Callithrix jacchus: one gene and its partners. The protein of the gene in region 2 binds, or shares a complex with, the protein of the main gene of each other region. Links are inferred from orthologs where the notes say so. Each region holds a gene or a part of one and is shown on either strand. Other genes may lie near its edges.

Region 1 (5,392 bases), on a different chromosome or scaffold from region 2:
GCATTCCCTTGGAAATCTGGCACTAGACAAGGATGCTCTCTCTCCCCACTTCTATTCAATATAGTACTGGAAGTTCTAGCCAGAGCAATGAGGCAAGAAAAAGAAATAAAGGGTGTTCAACTAGGAAAGGAAGAAGTCAAATTGTCTCTATTTGCAGACGACATGATTGTGTATCTAGAGGACCCCATCATCTCAGCCCAAAATCTCCTGAAACTGATAAGCAACTTCAGCAATGTCTCAGGATACAAAATCAATGTGCAAAAATCACAAGCATTCCTATACACCAATAACAGACTTAAAGAGAGCCAAATCAAGAACAAACTGCCATTCACAGTTGCTACAAAGAGAATAAAATACCTAGGAATACAACTAACAAGGAACGTAAAGACCTCTTCAAGGAGAACTACAAACCACTGCTCAACGAAATAAGAGAGGACACAAACATATGGAGAAACATTCCATGTTCATGGTTAGGAAGAATCAATATCATGAAAATGGCCATATGCCCAAAGTAATTTACAGATTCAACGTTATCCCCATCAAACTACCAATGAGCTTATTCACAGAACTGGAAAAAACCACCTTAAACTTCATATGGAACCAAATGAGAGTCCGCATAGCCAAGTCAATTCTGAGTAAAAAGAACACAGCGGGAGGCATCACCCTACTGGACTTCAAACTATACTACAAGGCTACAGTAATCAAAACAGCATGGTATTGGTACCAAAACAGCGATATAGACCAATGGAACAAAACAGAGGCCTCGGAGGCAACACAACAAATCTACAACCATACAATCTTTGATAAACCTGACAAAAAGAAGCAATGGGGAAAGGATTCCCTGTTTAATAAATGGTGTTGGGAAAAGTAGCTAGCTATGTGCAGAAAGCAGAAACTGGACCCCTTCCTGACACCTTACACTAAAATTAACTCCAGATGGATTAAAGACAAACATAAGACCTAACACCATAAAAACACTAGAAGAAAATCTAGGCGAAATTCAGGACATAGGAGTAGGCAAGGACTTCATGACCAAAACACCAAAAGCATTGGCAACAAAAGCCAAAATAGAAAAATGGGACCTAATCAAACTCCATAGTTTCTGCACGGCAAAAAAAAACAGTCATTAGATTGAATAGGCAACCAACAGAATGGGAAAAAATTTTTGCAGTTTACCCATCTGATAAAGGGCTGATATCCAGAATTTACAAAGAACTAAAACAGATTTACAAGAAAAAAACAAATAAGCCCATTCAAAAGGAAGTGAAGGATATGAACAGACACTTTACAAAAGAAGACATACATGTGGCCAACAAACATGAAAAAATGCTCATCATCACTGGTTATTAGAGAAATGCAAATCAAAACTACATTGAGATACCATCTCACGCCAGTTAGAATGGCGATCATTAAAAAATCTGGAGACAACAGATGCTGGAGAGGATGTGGAGAAATAGGAACACTTTTACAGTGCTGTTGGGAGTGTAAATTAGTTCAACCATTGTGGAAGACAATGTGGCGATTCCTCAAGGACCTAGAAATAGAAATTCCATTTGACCGAGCAATCCCATTACTGGGTATATATCCAAAGGAATATAAATCGTTCTACTATAAGGACACATGCACACGAATGGTCACTGCAGCACTGTTTACAATAGCAAAGACCTGGAATCAACCCAAATGCCCATGGATGATAGACTGGACAGGGAAAATGTGGCACATATACACCATGGAATATTATGCAGCAATCAGAAATGATGAGTTCGTGTCCTTTGCAGGGACATGGATGAACCTGGAGAACATCATTCTCAGCAAGCTTACACAAGAACAGAAAACGAAATACCGAATGTTCTCACTCATAGGGGGGTGTTGGACAATGAGAACACATGGACACAGGGAGGGGAGCACTACACACTGGGGTCTATTGGGGAAAATAGGGGAGGGACAGCGGGGGGTGGGGAGTTGGGGAGAGATAGCATGGGGAGAAATGCCAGATATAGGTGAAGGGGAGGAAGGCAGCAAATCACACTGCTGTGCACCTATGCAACTATCTTGCATGTTCTTCACATGTACCCCAAAACCTAAAATGCAATAAAATAAATACTTTAAATATATAAATAAATAAAAATTCAGGTGATACTTATTCTACAACTGACTCTTCTGCCTTGTACTGTATACAAACACCTTGGATGGGAATTGGCATACATTAGCCATTAAATCAATCAGAGAAACATTTTTCCATTCTAATGTGGTAATATTCCCCATTTCCCCCTTTCTCTGAATGACAGTCATCTCAGGTTTTAAAACCAGCTCAAAAGATAGCTTCTCCATGATGCTTTTCCTAACTTTCCCAATTGTTCACTACTCAGTATTACCATAGTAACATGGTCTCTTCTCTACAAGCACTCTTATCAGACATACAAGGCTTTTGTTTACCTGCCTGTCTCTAAACTGTAAGCTCTTCCTGGAAAACTACCTTACCTATGCCTCTTTGTATCTCCGGCGCCTAGTACAGTGCCCAGTGGCTAGCAGGCGTTCAATTAATGACTGTAGAAGAAATGGAGAATTAATGACCTCCAAGTTAAGCAAAGAATATATCAAACTCAAAAATGTACTTTTAAAAACTTAAGGCCCTAGATATAGGCTGCGTGAGTTGGGTTAAGGCAGAAAATATGACCGGAACGCTGCTGGATAGGGAAATCTCCACTTGACTTTTTCAAGTACATGCTGAGAAGTACCAGCTTCAGTGTTTCGATGCAACATTGTCCACAGGAAGAAGTAAAGACAACACTTCTCGTGGTCTCTTCCTACCACAAGATCCCTGAACCCATTCCCCACCCCAAATCCGGGAAATCTCATTTTGGGGATCTCAGGGCCCCAAGTTCCCTAGATGAAGCTCTCACCTTCCCATTCGTGGGAGGCTCCTGGATGTAGATGTTGCTCATCGCGATCAGTACTAAGGACTCTGCTCCTTATGGGGGATGAGAGTGGACGGCGGGTCACGAAAGCTGTCCGCCTACGAGCACACTCTTCGTTAAGTCGAGTGGTCCAGGAAAGCTTCAGTTTGTCAACATCACGCAAGACAGGAACACCAAACACTACCTTTGCCCAAAACAACCCCTCTCGGACGCCGCCATGTTGTTATCGGACCCGAGCACCGCTAATGCTGAGAAGGGTGATTCCAATGTACTCCTGGGTACAAAAAAAAGTCTGTAAAGCTACTATGGCTTAATGTAATTTGTATTACAACATTAGAAGAGGCACTTCGTAAGTTTTGGCGGTGTTTACTTCACTACTTGCGTGTGCAGATCGCACTCAGCACCCCCCAAAACTAACAGTAATGGTCCGGACCATGTGTCTTCTGCAATATGACTCGTCCGGAAACCGCATCTGCGTCTACTGGTTCTGTTGTCGCTAGAGGCTTACAGGGCCTTCCGACTGTAGCGAAGGTGCTGCCGCTCTGGGGAAGGCAAACGCCGCTTTGGCTGTGCCTTGTCCTCGCAGCTGGCGGGAAGCAAGCGCCTTTTCGAAAGCCGGAGGCTGCAGTGACCCCTGTCACCACCGTCATGGCGGTCCCAGGTAAGGAGCCACTGCGTCCGAGCTCGGAAGGGAGCGCAAGGGAGGATAGGGTAGGGTGCAGGATGTAGGGAGCAGCGCCCATGGGGATTTAGGTGGAGGCCTTAAAATTCATGAGTTTGTTTTGTTTACGTGAAAAAGTTTACAGTCCAAAGAAAAACTCTGAAGGAAAGAAAGTAACTATCTTCCTCCCCCCGCAACTGCATGGGATTACAGGGAAAGTATATCGTGGAAGGGAGGGAGAAGGGAGAGACTGTAATTGTAGGCCTAAGGGGGCAGGCGGCCAAGAAAAACTACCTTAACTGTGGTATGGCTTTAAAATAGAATTTGAAGTGGAAACACTTGGCCGACTCAGGTAACCGGAGCCATCGTTTGTCTTAGAAGTCGCTAGGACCTGCCGGGTGTCTGGGTTCTACTCCTAGCCTTTCCTGTTGTAGGTAGCTGCTCTGTGGCCACAGATTGGTCTCTTTGTGCTTCTGGGCCTCAGTTTTCTTATAAAAACATGGAGCTTTGTTGAATGATGTATAAGATTTCTTCTGAGTCTCAAATTCTGTGTCCAGAAGTTACTGCCCTAAAAATGGTGAACTCGCAGAATAATTAAAAGATTTTCTCGTCCTCAACTACTAGCTTACTTGGAAGTTCTAGTAGGGGAGTGCATCTCCTTAAACCGGCTTTGCGAACACTGGTTGCAGGAGATATTTTCAGGAATATACACTCCTCCACCCTATCCCCCGCAACTTGGAAATTCACAGTGCACTTTAGTAATAGAAAGGATTCTGAAAATTACCATGGTTCAGAGCCCTGTTTAAACCTACCTTTCCCAGTATTATTTGACCAGATAATCTTTGTTCTGTGGCAGCCTTTTTGAACCTCATTCTACAGATACCTGTTATGGGAACATTGGCTTTTGTACCAACTGCAGTTTGGGGAGGAGTACATCTGGAGCTGTGAGAGAGGAAGTGTACACTCTATTAAGTGCCTATTGTGTGCCAGGCACTGGAGGCATTGAAAATACAATCGTGAGCAAGGTAGACATGGCTACACTTCACACAGAACTTAGAATTTAGCAGCGAAGAGAGAGAAATTTACAGAAAATAGAACAACTGCCATGGCAAGGAAAATACAAGAACTTAGGAAGCACATAGTAAGGGCACCAAACACATAGAGGATGGGCAGAAGGACTCCAGAGGATGTAGCCTTTAGGAGGAGATCTAAATTATAGAAGGAGTGGTTTGGAGGGAGAGGAGACTGTAGTTGGAGGAACTGGATATGTAAAGGAAGAGGAAATATGTGAGAAGAGGAAATGAAAGATGCTTTCTGTAGATGAAACACAGATGCAAATGAGAGATAAGTGAGAAATTAAGTAGAGCGATAGTAACTGTAGCTAATATTTACTAATATGTTTCAAATGTGTCATACTGCATTAAACATTGTATTCTATCTCATTTAACATTCACAACTGCACTGTGAAATGAGTATTAATATTCTCATTTTACAGATGAGGACACTGAGGGACAAAGAAATCAAGTAATATGCCTATTATGAGACAGCTAGTAAGCAAGAGGCCAGTCTGGCTCCTCTGGACTGTGCGCTTCATTCATTTTGCCGTAGTACAGGATAACTTACAAGGTAGTTTCCATCTCTTGAAGGACCTTGTAGCCTATGACAAGAGGTTTGGCATTGTCCTAAGAATAGTAGGAAGCCATCTAAGGGTTTTTAAGCAGATTTACATTTTGGAAAGATAATTCTGGCTATACGGTAGATTGGAGGCAAAAGTTTACTAGTTAGGAGTAATTCTTGTGAGTTATGATGATAA
Region 2 (5,177 bases):
CCTATCCACTATTCTAAACTTATCTGTCACTGAAACCTCTGGGCTTTGATTATATTGTATGAGTTAAAGTTTCTTAAATACATGATGCTCATTTATTCCTCTAAGCATTTAAACATCCTGCCTGGCTTGCCTTTCCATCTTTTCCTCTCCCTTCTAAGTAATGTCTACTTATCCTTCAAAATTCAGCCACTTCTAACAGACTGGATGAAGTCTTCTATGAACCAATATTTCTCCCTTCTCAACCCAGATTATGTAGTACGCTGCAGAGAACTCTGTGGTTTACACTTACTGAATACTGTGATGATTTACTTGCCTCTCTTCCCACTAGACTGGGAACTGCATGATGACACACTTGGCAGAGTGCCTGACACACAGAAGGCATTTAGCAATATGCTTTCCATACCTCTATTTTTAGTAGTTCTTACTACATATGCCTTTCGCACTGCTAGTTTTTTTCTAGTTTCTTCAACTGTTTCAAATTCTGGAGCATAGCACACATGAAGCAATCCACCGAAAAAACTCTGTTCATCCATTTTTCTCTTGGCTGTCCTGAATGGAAATACAAGATAGCATGGTTTTTTTAAATCCAGATTTACTTACAAATGAGAGCTTAACTAGTATACAATACCTGGAGCTAAAGCCAAAGTCCAGCTTTTGCAATGTGTATGTATATATCCTGTGGACTGGGAATCAAGATGCTCTGTTTGTGGATGGTATTCATACCACCCATCCAGTATGTACTCTTAGAGCCTTCTCTTCCCTTTAAACCTCTTGGATTTGTTCCCTAGTCTTTAAGCAACTAAGGACCCAGCTGGTTGGCCTGAGGTATGTAAACTCTGGTCATAAAATAGAGCTTTTCTGTGGCCCTGAAGAGTTAGTTCATATCCAATTAAGCTTTTTCAGCACAATGTATTTCTGTAATGGGATTTATGCCTTAAAAATCAGATGAAAAATACTATAATCATAATACCTTCAATAACTGAGGAAATACTAAATATATAACAATGAGAAAATAAAAATGTTATTCAGTCAATACTTACTAAACATCTATGATATGCCAAGTACTACAATAAATAAATTTAACTACTCCTATATCCAGGGATAATATTAATACTTGTTGAGATTTTATCATATGCCAAGCAATGTCATAAGTGCTTCCCTTGAATTAATACCTCACAACTGTATAATGAAAGTGAAGCACTAGGACATTATATAACTTAGCCATGCTCATACTCTCGTTTGAGGAGCAAGGATTCAAATAAGGCATTGCATACTTCAGCTTTTTTTGAGCAGAGGGCTTATATCAGATAGAAGGCTGGAAAAAACTGAGTCAATTCGCAGAAAGGAGTGACAATAGCTAATGCTTACTGTATTCTGACCAGGAGGGACTATGCTAAACCCTTTATATGGATCATCTCATTTCATCAGCATACTACCTCAAGAAGGTCCCTTTAGCATATAGATTTTATGGAAGAGGAAAAACAGGTTTAACCTGGTTAAATAACTTGTCCAAGGTCATGAAGCTAGTAAGCAGTTGGACTGGAAAACTTACTCCAAGCCCAACTTTTTGTTTTATTTTTTTGAGACAGTGTCTCACTCTGTCCCCCAGGCTAAAGTGTAGTGGCCCATAAACAACTCACTGCAACCTATGCCTCCTGGGCTCAACTGATTCTCCCACCTCAACCTCCCAAGTAGCTGGGACTACAGGCATGCTCAGCTTGATTTTTGTATTTTTCGTAGAGGCAGCGTTTCACCATGTTGGCCAGTCTGGTCTTGAACTGGGCTCAAGCAATCTGTCCACCTTGGTCTTCCAAAGTGCTGGGATCAAATTCAACTTTTTTTTTTTTTTTTTGAGACAGTCTCACTCTTGCCCAGACTGGAGTGCAGTGGTGTGATCTCAGGTCACCACAACCTCCACTTCCTGGTTTCAAGTGATCCTTGTGCCTCAATCTTCCCAGTAGCACAGGCTTGTGCAACCACACTTGGCTAATTTTGTATTTAGTAGAGTCAGGGTTTCACCATGTTGCTCAGGCTGGGCTTGAACTCCTGACCTCAGGTGATCCCCCTATCTCGACCTCCCAAAGTGCTGGGATTATAGGTGTGAGCCATGTGCCTGGCCTCAAACCCATCTTTTTTTTTTTTTTTTTTTTTTGAGAGCCTCGCTTTATAACATAAAAATAGATAAGGCATTGCATACTTCAGCCTTTTTGGACTCTAAGCTGGAGTCCTGTGGCATGATCTTGGCTCACTGCAATCCTCCACCTCCCAGGTTCAAGTGATTCCCATGCCTCAGCCACCTGAGTAGCTGGGACTACAGGTCCCAACCACCACGCCCAGCTAATTTTTGTACTTTTAGTAGAGCTGGGGTTTCTGTCATGTTGGCCAGGTTGGTCTTGAACTGTCGACATCAAGTGATCTGCCTGCCTCAGTCTCCCAAAGTGGTGGGATTACAGGCGAGAGCCACCGTGTCCTAACTTCAAACCCAACTTTTAATCTACCACACCACAGGACATTAAATTGTTAAGCATGGGAATGATGTGATGGGAACAGTGCTTCAAGTAAAGTATACCTTTAAAAAGGCTAGAGGAAAATAAGTGGAATATAGGCTAGATTACATTGAATGAGGTATGAATGAGGGAAACTTGGGCCCAAAATGATAGAAATATGAATGGAGAAAATGAGTCACTGCTTAACTTGCACATTACCTTGCACTTTGTAAGTTCACAAATTTAATAAGATAAACTTCAGTAAAGTCTTCTGCCGGGTATTCATCTAGAGCATTATACTGTTCAATTGGACCATATAAAGCGAATCGCTCAACTAATTCTTTCATGGCTCCCACAGCAGGAACTCCTTGTATTAGTAAGTACTGAGATTCCAAATTGATTGTATATACCTGAAAGAAATGCAGAGTCGTTAAATGTATCTCGCAAATAAACCTAGGACGAATCTGCCTCTATTTTTTTTTAAACAGCGCTTTCAAAACAAGAAATAATCTGTTCAACCCAAACACAAAATAAAATGTCTCTCATTCCCTCTGCATAAAGAGTAACAGCCCATGTGAGAGGGTACCTAACAAAGGCATATAACAGACTACCTTCAGTCGACATTTTTTTCCAGAAATTGAGTCGGTAGAATTCACCGGGAACAATCACTCAACGAGTATTCACTGAGCGCTTACCTTGTGCCAAGTAGTACTGTAAATACAGAAGATCCAATGACTAAAACCAAGCCTTACTCTCGTGGAGGTGCTGTTCTAATAGTTGACCAAAAGGATCGTGAGAATCTTTGATAACTGACCCAAGCAAGGTTCTTCACGCTAGCTCTAAAGAGAGAGGGATCTGACAGCAGCCTTGTCCTGCCCTTATTTCTGTAGACTGGCTATATGGCGCTAGCACTCATATAAAGCTACCGAAGAGAGCGAATGAAACCAAAATCACTTTACCTTGACAGCACGAGGCCGTCGTCCCTCCCGATATTTGGCCCGCGTGTCGCATACCGCCCGCTGGACGTGGTGGTCAAATACATTCCCTAACTCCCCACCGCTCGACGCCATCTTGCCTGCTTTGATCCTCGCAGGGAGGACAACATCCGCCCTGCTGAGCTCCCTTTTCCCCAATAAGAGAGCGAGATGAGTCAAGGAGTCCCACGATTGGCTGGAGAATCGACAGCGTCGGCCATCGTTTCCTGCGTGAGAGGATTTGATGAACGAGTTGCCGCCCCCGCGAGCGGCACCGCGGAGAGGCGCGGTGAGTGGCAGAAGCTCGCTTGTTCCACCTAATACAGGCTTGCGACGAGAGGCGCAGCGGTCAGAGGGGGCGGGGCCGATCTATCTCCTCCGGCTCCGACGCCCTTGGCCTGCCAGGTCCCGGGTCCGCTGCGGCGCTGGGGTGGGGCGAACCCGGAGCGACGCGTAAGGACGATGTGGGGCAGCGATCTCCTGGCGGATGCTGGGCGAGGCGGGACGGCAGTGACTGTGGTCTTCACCAACGCTCGCGACTGCTTCCTCCACCTGCCGCGGCGTCTCGTGGCCCAGCTGCACCTGCTGCAGGTAACGTGCCGGCTCCGGCCACCTGCTGTTCAGCCTGGGGTCGGACTAGGCCGAAACCTCTCTGGGAGGCGGCGGGATGCCTGCTGCCTTTCGGGCGCCGCCGAAGCGCGCAGAGGTCAGACGAAGGGTCCCTCGAGGACAGGGCCCCTCTGAGTAGTCTTTGCGTCCCACAAGTCCTGGGCAGCCCTGGGCTTGTCTTATCCCAGGTCTTTTCACTTGGTGAAACTGAGCCTAGAAACATTCTAACATTCTACCATTGTTTTTAGAAATATTCCTTATTCCAGGTTGGAATATCTCCTGAGAAGTCGTTTGTTTTTGTTATTTTAAAAGGTGTTTTTCTTGCCAGTCATTTCCAGTTACCTGCGCTGCTGCCGTCCCGGCCGCGAGAGGGAGGCGGAGAATTGTTGGCTGAGCCCGGGTAGATTCCCGGGGACTGACCACCGCGTCCCATAAGCGGGAAAGATTAATACAATGATGGTTTTGCGCGGCGTCGCTGACCCTCGGAACACAGCTGTGGTGTGTTAGGAACACGTAACGTAGTTAGGATCACTTGAAGCTCTGAGATCAGTCGCCTTTCTGGACGTTGTGGTAGGGAAGTTTCACAGTTGTAACCACTGGTGGAGATACAGCGTCCCTACTTTCATAATTAAAAATAGAGGCACATGGTCTCAAGAATTTGAGTGTGCTTATGGGGGCAAAAGGATAGCGTATTTGAAGTTCTCATTGTAAGGTTAGCCAAGAGGAAAGGAGAGTAGACCCAAAGTCAGGCAAGCAAGTCTTATTAACTTGCCAGGCTGTTGGTAACACTCAGAGGAGGCAGCCCCGAGCTCACAAAATGAGGGGCTTTTATGGGGTGAGAGGAGCTTAAGAGAGTTTCAGGACTGAGATAATTTATCAGCTTGTCACAGGCACAGAGATAGTTTGTTAACTTGTGACTGGCTTACAATATACATCATCCTGCGAATCCTGTGACTTGTGGCGGCAGTTTTTTAAAAAACAGGATTTTACAGGTATGTGGAAAACAGGAATACACGTATGGCTAACAAACATTTGTTTTCCCTGTCCTCCCCCGACCTGCCCAGATGGCTGTAATCAGGCTTTGCTTAATTGTAGCACCTAGGTAGGC
Region 3 (5,220 bases), on a different chromosome or scaffold from region 2:
GAAAATTAATTCTAATATGTGAAAACTGTTTAGTCAAGGAAGGTCATGTGGGAAACAAGCATTACCACAGCTTATATTGCAATTTCTGAAAAACCCATTAAGTGGCTTTCAGAAATGCAAAAATAAATAAAAATAAACTGCAGTGTCTAATTGAATAAGGTTTAAAGATAGACTGTCATACATATTTATTTTCAATTGTGACATAAAACAATGATTAATCAGGCTCACAATATTATAATATGCACTGAAGAGGTCATAATTCCACAATTAATCAAGGCAAGGATCAATCAAACATTGTGGGCAGCCTTCTAGCAAGTAACAGGCTACCAATTTTTTTGGGAAAAAAATCAGGTTCCCTTTACTCACCATAAATAACCTAATGAAGATTTGACGAATACTTTATTCTTTCATTAAAAGAAATACTAGCTCCATCAAAAATCAGTTATCTAGAAATAAGCCTTACCTTGTGTGATAATGAACTTCTTTTAGAGGATGCATTTGGTTTCACTACTAAATATAGTACTAGATTGACAGCAGTTACAAAACCAGAACAGGTGCACAACCATGTCAAGTGTGTTTCCAATAATGAGAAGTTCTCCAAGCACAGTGATGGAATGAAGACACTTAGGATAATTGAAAATATGCATAAAAGATGGGTATACAGTAGTCTTTTGATATCGGTATCTTTCATGGTGTTTTCCTGGGTGGCTAGCTAATAAAAAACAAGAAGAGCATATGCAATAATGACTTTTTCCATTGTCCAAAATGTTTCAACCCCTACAAATAAGTCATAAAGTCAATTTCCTATGGGCAATGTATTTGTTTCAAAACACCTGGACCTTATAATAGGTGAAGGGGAGAAAGGCAGCAAATCACACTGCCACGTGTGTACCTATGCAACAATCTTGCATGTTCTTCACATGTACCCCAAAACCTAAAATGCAATTTAAAAAATTGCTCTCACTTAATTCACCCAATGCTTTTCAAAGGCAGATACTTTACTGATAAGGAAACACGACAAACAGGTAAGGAGGTCCAAGTTCTCAAGAGCTACAGCCCTCTCTCTGGTACAACGAAATAAAGGGATGGAGAAGGAAACGGATGGCAAGAAGGGACAAAGGGAAAGTTTCCTATAGATTCTATCTTAAGCTGATTGAGGGAGGGCAATCATCAGGAATCCATCCTCACAACAAACCCTTCATCCATTTTTCTGAGCCACCCTCGGAATCGCAGCTGCCAACAGGAGATGCTCCTACAATAAGCAGGAACCAAACTCAAATGTTTGCTGAACGAATGAAGGAACCAGAGTATGTAAAGTGGGAAACTAACTCTCCTGGGAAACCCACACCGTGTTAGGCCCTGGCGTGCCCCCAGGACACCTACAAGGGTGCCACGGGTATGACCTGGCCCACCTCGCTAGGCACCGCAGCAGAGAGACGGCGCTTCCGAGCGGCCCCCAGAGGAGCCCTCGCGGGCATCGCCGCACCTTCACTGGCAGCCCCACCCCAACCTGGGTCGCTCGGGATTCTGCCCGAGCCTAGGCCGGCGCGAGCGTCGACAGCCAGGAACCAGCAGAGAGGCAGGATCAAAGAGCACGGGAGTTGGAGACAAGGGAAAACTGGGGGACAGAGGCAGAAACTCGGATCCGAAAGGGGGGGTCTGTCCATCAGAGCACGCCGGAAGAGTGGCGCTCGAGCTGAGGGCGAGAGCGGGCGGGCCGGGACGCCAAGGCTCACGGCTGCTACGGCAGTTCGCGGGGGTGGCTTGCACCCCGGGGGGCGAGATCGCCGGGGGCGTACATTGGGGCTTACCTAACTCTCCCACCCGCGGAAGGGAAGCGGGGAACTACTGCCTCCTACCATCAGGTACGACGTGCTACCCAGGCCCACCCGCAAGCGCAGGGTTAAGGGGCGGAGATCCAGGGCCGCATAGCCAGTAGCAGAAAGAGAGGGGCGGGCAGATGGGGCAGCCCCGCCTAGACGCTCCCGTTCATTCCTCCCGCGGCCTTCCAAGTTTGGGCTAGACCGGAGCGGCGTGCTTAGAAGCCGGAAGTGGGTTGACGTAGCCCGGAAGGGGAAGCCGTCCGGGTTTTAGTTTTGATGTTTTCGGGCTGCTGTTGCTGCTGCTGCTGCTGCTGTTGCGGCTAGGGGAACCGTCGTGGGGAAGGATGGTCTGCGAAAAATGTGAGTTAAGGGGCTCCTCCTGCGGGAGGAAGAAACTGGGGGAACCTAAATGAACTCTCCCGGGAACTCTGCCTTCTCTTTTGTTTTTTCTTCGCCCACATCTTTGATTCTAGTCGCTGTCCTTCTGCTCTACCCTTTGACCATTTTTGCACCTCCCCAAAGACCATATAGTCCTATAGTATATTTTGTTTTCAGAATGGTCTTAGTTCTGCATCTCCTTGTCTATTTCCATTGCCTTCCCCCAGCTCCAGATCTCATCAGCTCCCCTCCCGTATAAAAATGTTCAGTTAAACCCCAATCACACCTTTCCCTCTTGCAATTCCTGACCTTTCCTTTTTATTCATGTAACACACTAGAACCAAAGACCAAGGACCTCGTCTTACTCATTCCTGTTAGTCATTATGCCAGAATATGGCTTAGAGTAAGCCCAGAAGATGTGTGAATTGAACATCAACGCAAGTGCAAGTTACTATTTCCCTAATTTAACACCTTTAATAAATTCTCAGTGTGCAGAGAACAATGTGGGGATTCTGTATTTGGAGCCTGACGTTCAGGACCCTCCGCAATAAGGCCCCAACTTATTTTTCCAGCTTCATCTTCACTGATCCTTACCCTCTTCACACTTTGACCAAACGTAACTACCCTTTGTGCCCATGTGTACTCGGAGCTTTCCATGCCTTTCCTCAGAATGTGTCCTTTATCAGTCTGCCTTTATCCTCTTTACTCCTTTTTGTTCACAGTCCTATTGCCACATATTCAAATCCTCTCTCTTGCCTTCTCCCCAAACTTTCTTGGATTTCCTTAGCCAGGGTTATATCTTCCTGCATGGAATTTCACCTAGTACTTTAGCTCTCAATTATTACACCGTTTAATTTTTAGCTTATATTTTGGTTGAATGATTCTCAGGTTCTCTCTGAGAATCTGAAGAAAGCTATAGACTCTTGCCAGGAAAGAAAAAAAAAAGATATATAAAAGGTTTGTGTACAATTCTGCCTTGTTCACATATCTCTTAAGATCGACCTGTGGAACATAGATTAAAGATTGCTGTTAAACTACTGTACTATAATCTCTTTAAAATTTTGTCTGATTCATCACTTATTTTTTTCAGTAATTTGTATAGTTTATACATCATAGATGCTTAGTAAATATGTATGGAACAAATAGACTTGCCAGATTTGTTTAAAGTATAAACAAACAGAGAAAGCTTATTATAAGCCATCTTATTATCCTACGGATTTTACTGTGGATCAGTCATTCATTGCCCACAGTTAATACAAGTCTCAGTTCACTGACTGCTCTCCCAGCATTAACAGGCTCCTGCAGTAATAGGACTGTTGATACCATTGTGAACCTTAGGCACAATGTGATGCACTTATGAAATACTAAATTTTAAATTGCTTTTTACTATCTTATTATAACAGGTGAAAAGAAACTTGGTACTGTTATCACTCCAGATACATGGAAAGATGGTGCTAGGAATACCACAGGTATTTCTTCTTTTAGAAAATAGGAATTTAACCAGAGACTCCTGTGAATATTTTATCTTTTACGTTATTTGTAAAATGAAATGTGTTCAAAGTATTTTGTCTATTAAACATGAAAGAATCCTGGGTCCCCAAGTTATTTAATATCTTCTACTTAGTTCTGTTACTTGTACAGGTTCCTAACATCAGGAGATAGCAAAATTATTAAATGATTGTCAAGTGGTGACAGTATCATAATATTTGATTTGATTCAGCTTATTTAGAGACTGCATTTAATTTCTCCGCTCTTCTGAGGAGAAATTTTTTTAAATCTGGTTTTTATATTCTTGAATAAATCCTTTAACCCATTTTACCTTCATTATCATTAATTACTTACAGTGAAGTATTTACCTTCATTATCATTAAATACATAAAGTATGTTTTCGAAGGGAAAGAAAAGAAACATAGACATTCAAGGTCTATGACACTGAAGTAGTGGGTTCTAGATTTTACAGTATATCAAGTAAATATAGACCCATTCCTAAGGTACTACCTTGAGTCTGAAAAATAAAATGATTGTATTTTATACAAATTTTTATTGTTTCTCTAATAAATGTTTTCTTTTTAAGCAGCGTCTTAATAACCTGACTGTTAAATGAAGATTTAAAAATTAGATATAGGCTACTAGTTTGGCAGAAAGTCAGAGAATGAACTTCTTAATGTTATATGTTAAATGTATAGAAGTAACCCTTTAAAATAACTTCTATTTTGATACAGAAAGTGGTGGAAGAAAGCTGAATGAAAATAAAGCTTTGACTTCAAAAAAAGCAAGGTGGGTAAGAGGATCCATAGAGAAGTCATATAATTTTCACTCTTTTAATGTTAAGCCTACTGGAGTGAATTTGATGTGCATCATTCCAATTGCAATAAAACATAGAGTTAGGTGGTTCCTGGCACTCAGAACCAAGCTATTTGTTATAACCTGCTGGTTTTACCTTATTCCTCCTTACTGTATGTCCCCCTCTGACTTCATATTGTACCATACTCCTCCTCATTCATCATATGCCATCCTCATTGGTTCTGCCAAGCCTCCCCCATCCAAAGAGATTTGTCCTTGCTGCTGTGTCCTCGAGGTCTTTACTGAGAGCTTACGTATCTGGCTCCTTGGTGTTTGGGTCTCAGCTGAAGGGTCTTTTCTCGGAGAGGTTTCCCTAATCAGCCTGTAAACTAATTTCTTCTTTCCTTTTCCTCATCTCTGCCTTCATATTCTGTTAGAATTGTCTCTATAATGCTACTATTTGAAAAGCTTGCTTGTTTTATTAGATTGTCTGTATCCTTATTGTCTACCTCCTGTCTAGAATGCCATCTGATGAGGGCAAGGGCTTTGTCTATCATGTTGATCTTTGGTATTTAGAACAGTAATTGGTACATAGTAAGCACTCAGTATATATTTGGTGAATGAATGAATACCTGTTTTATGATGTCATCCTGAGGATTAGAAATAACAATACTAAAGCCTTAACTACATACAGTGTGGGCACATAATAGGATCTTTTTTTTTTTATTTTTTATTG

Evidence for each region.
Region 1: RBM48 (region 2) and CWC27 share a complex: the UniProt entries of both Homo sapiens proteins name them as parts of the minor spliceosome. The link is inferred for Callithrix jacchus from reciprocal best matches to the Homo sapiens genes RBM48 and CWC27.
Region 3: RBM48 (region 2) and CRIPT share a complex: the UniProt entries of both Homo sapiens proteins name them as parts of the minor spliceosome. The link is inferred for Callithrix jacchus from reciprocal best matches to the Homo sapiens genes RBM48 and CRIPT.

Annotation. Positions count from the first base shown.
Region 1 is NC_133503.1:144,762,097-144,767,488, forward strand, and holds the start of CWC27 (spliceosome-associated protein CWC27 homolog), read right to left. Parts: upstream 3,153-5,392; 5' UTR 2,946-3,152; coding exon 2,904-2,945; intron 1-2,903. Other genes in the region: protein SREK1IP1, read left to right, coding at 3,567-3,579. UniProt on the Homo sapiens protein: As part of the spliceosome, plays a role in pre-mRNA splicing. Probable inactive PPIase with no peptidyl-prolyl cis-trans isomerase activity. As a component of the minor spliceosome, involved in the splicing of U12-type introns in pre-mRNAs.
Region 2 is NC_133512.1:57,089,394-57,094,570, forward strand, and holds the start of RBM48 (RNA-binding protein 48), read right to left. Parts: upstream 3,562-5,177; 5' UTR 3,557-3,561; coding exon 3,446-3,556; intron 2,897-3,445; coding exon 2,706-2,896; intron 550-2,705; coding exon 404-549; intron 1-403. Other genes in the region: peroxisomal ATPase PEX1, read left to right, coding at 3,923-4,051. UniProt on the Homo sapiens protein: As a component of the minor spliceosome, involved in the splicing of U12-type introns in pre-mRNAs.
Region 3 is NC_133515.1:68,132,116-68,137,335, reverse strand, and holds the start of CRIPT (cysteine-rich PDZ-binding protein), read left to right. Parts: upstream 1-2,068; 5' UTR 2,069-2,167; coding exon 2,168-2,183; intron 2,184-3,604; coding exon 3,605-3,670; intron 3,671-4,423; coding exon 4,424-4,478; intron 4,479-5,220. Other genes in the region: PIGF (GPI ethanolamine phosphate transferase, stabilizing subunit), read right to left, coding at 464-712, 1,413-1,667. UniProt on the Homo sapiens protein: As a component of the minor spliceosome, involved in the splicing of U12-type introns in pre-mRNAs. Involved in the cytoskeletal anchoring of DLG4 in excitatory synapses.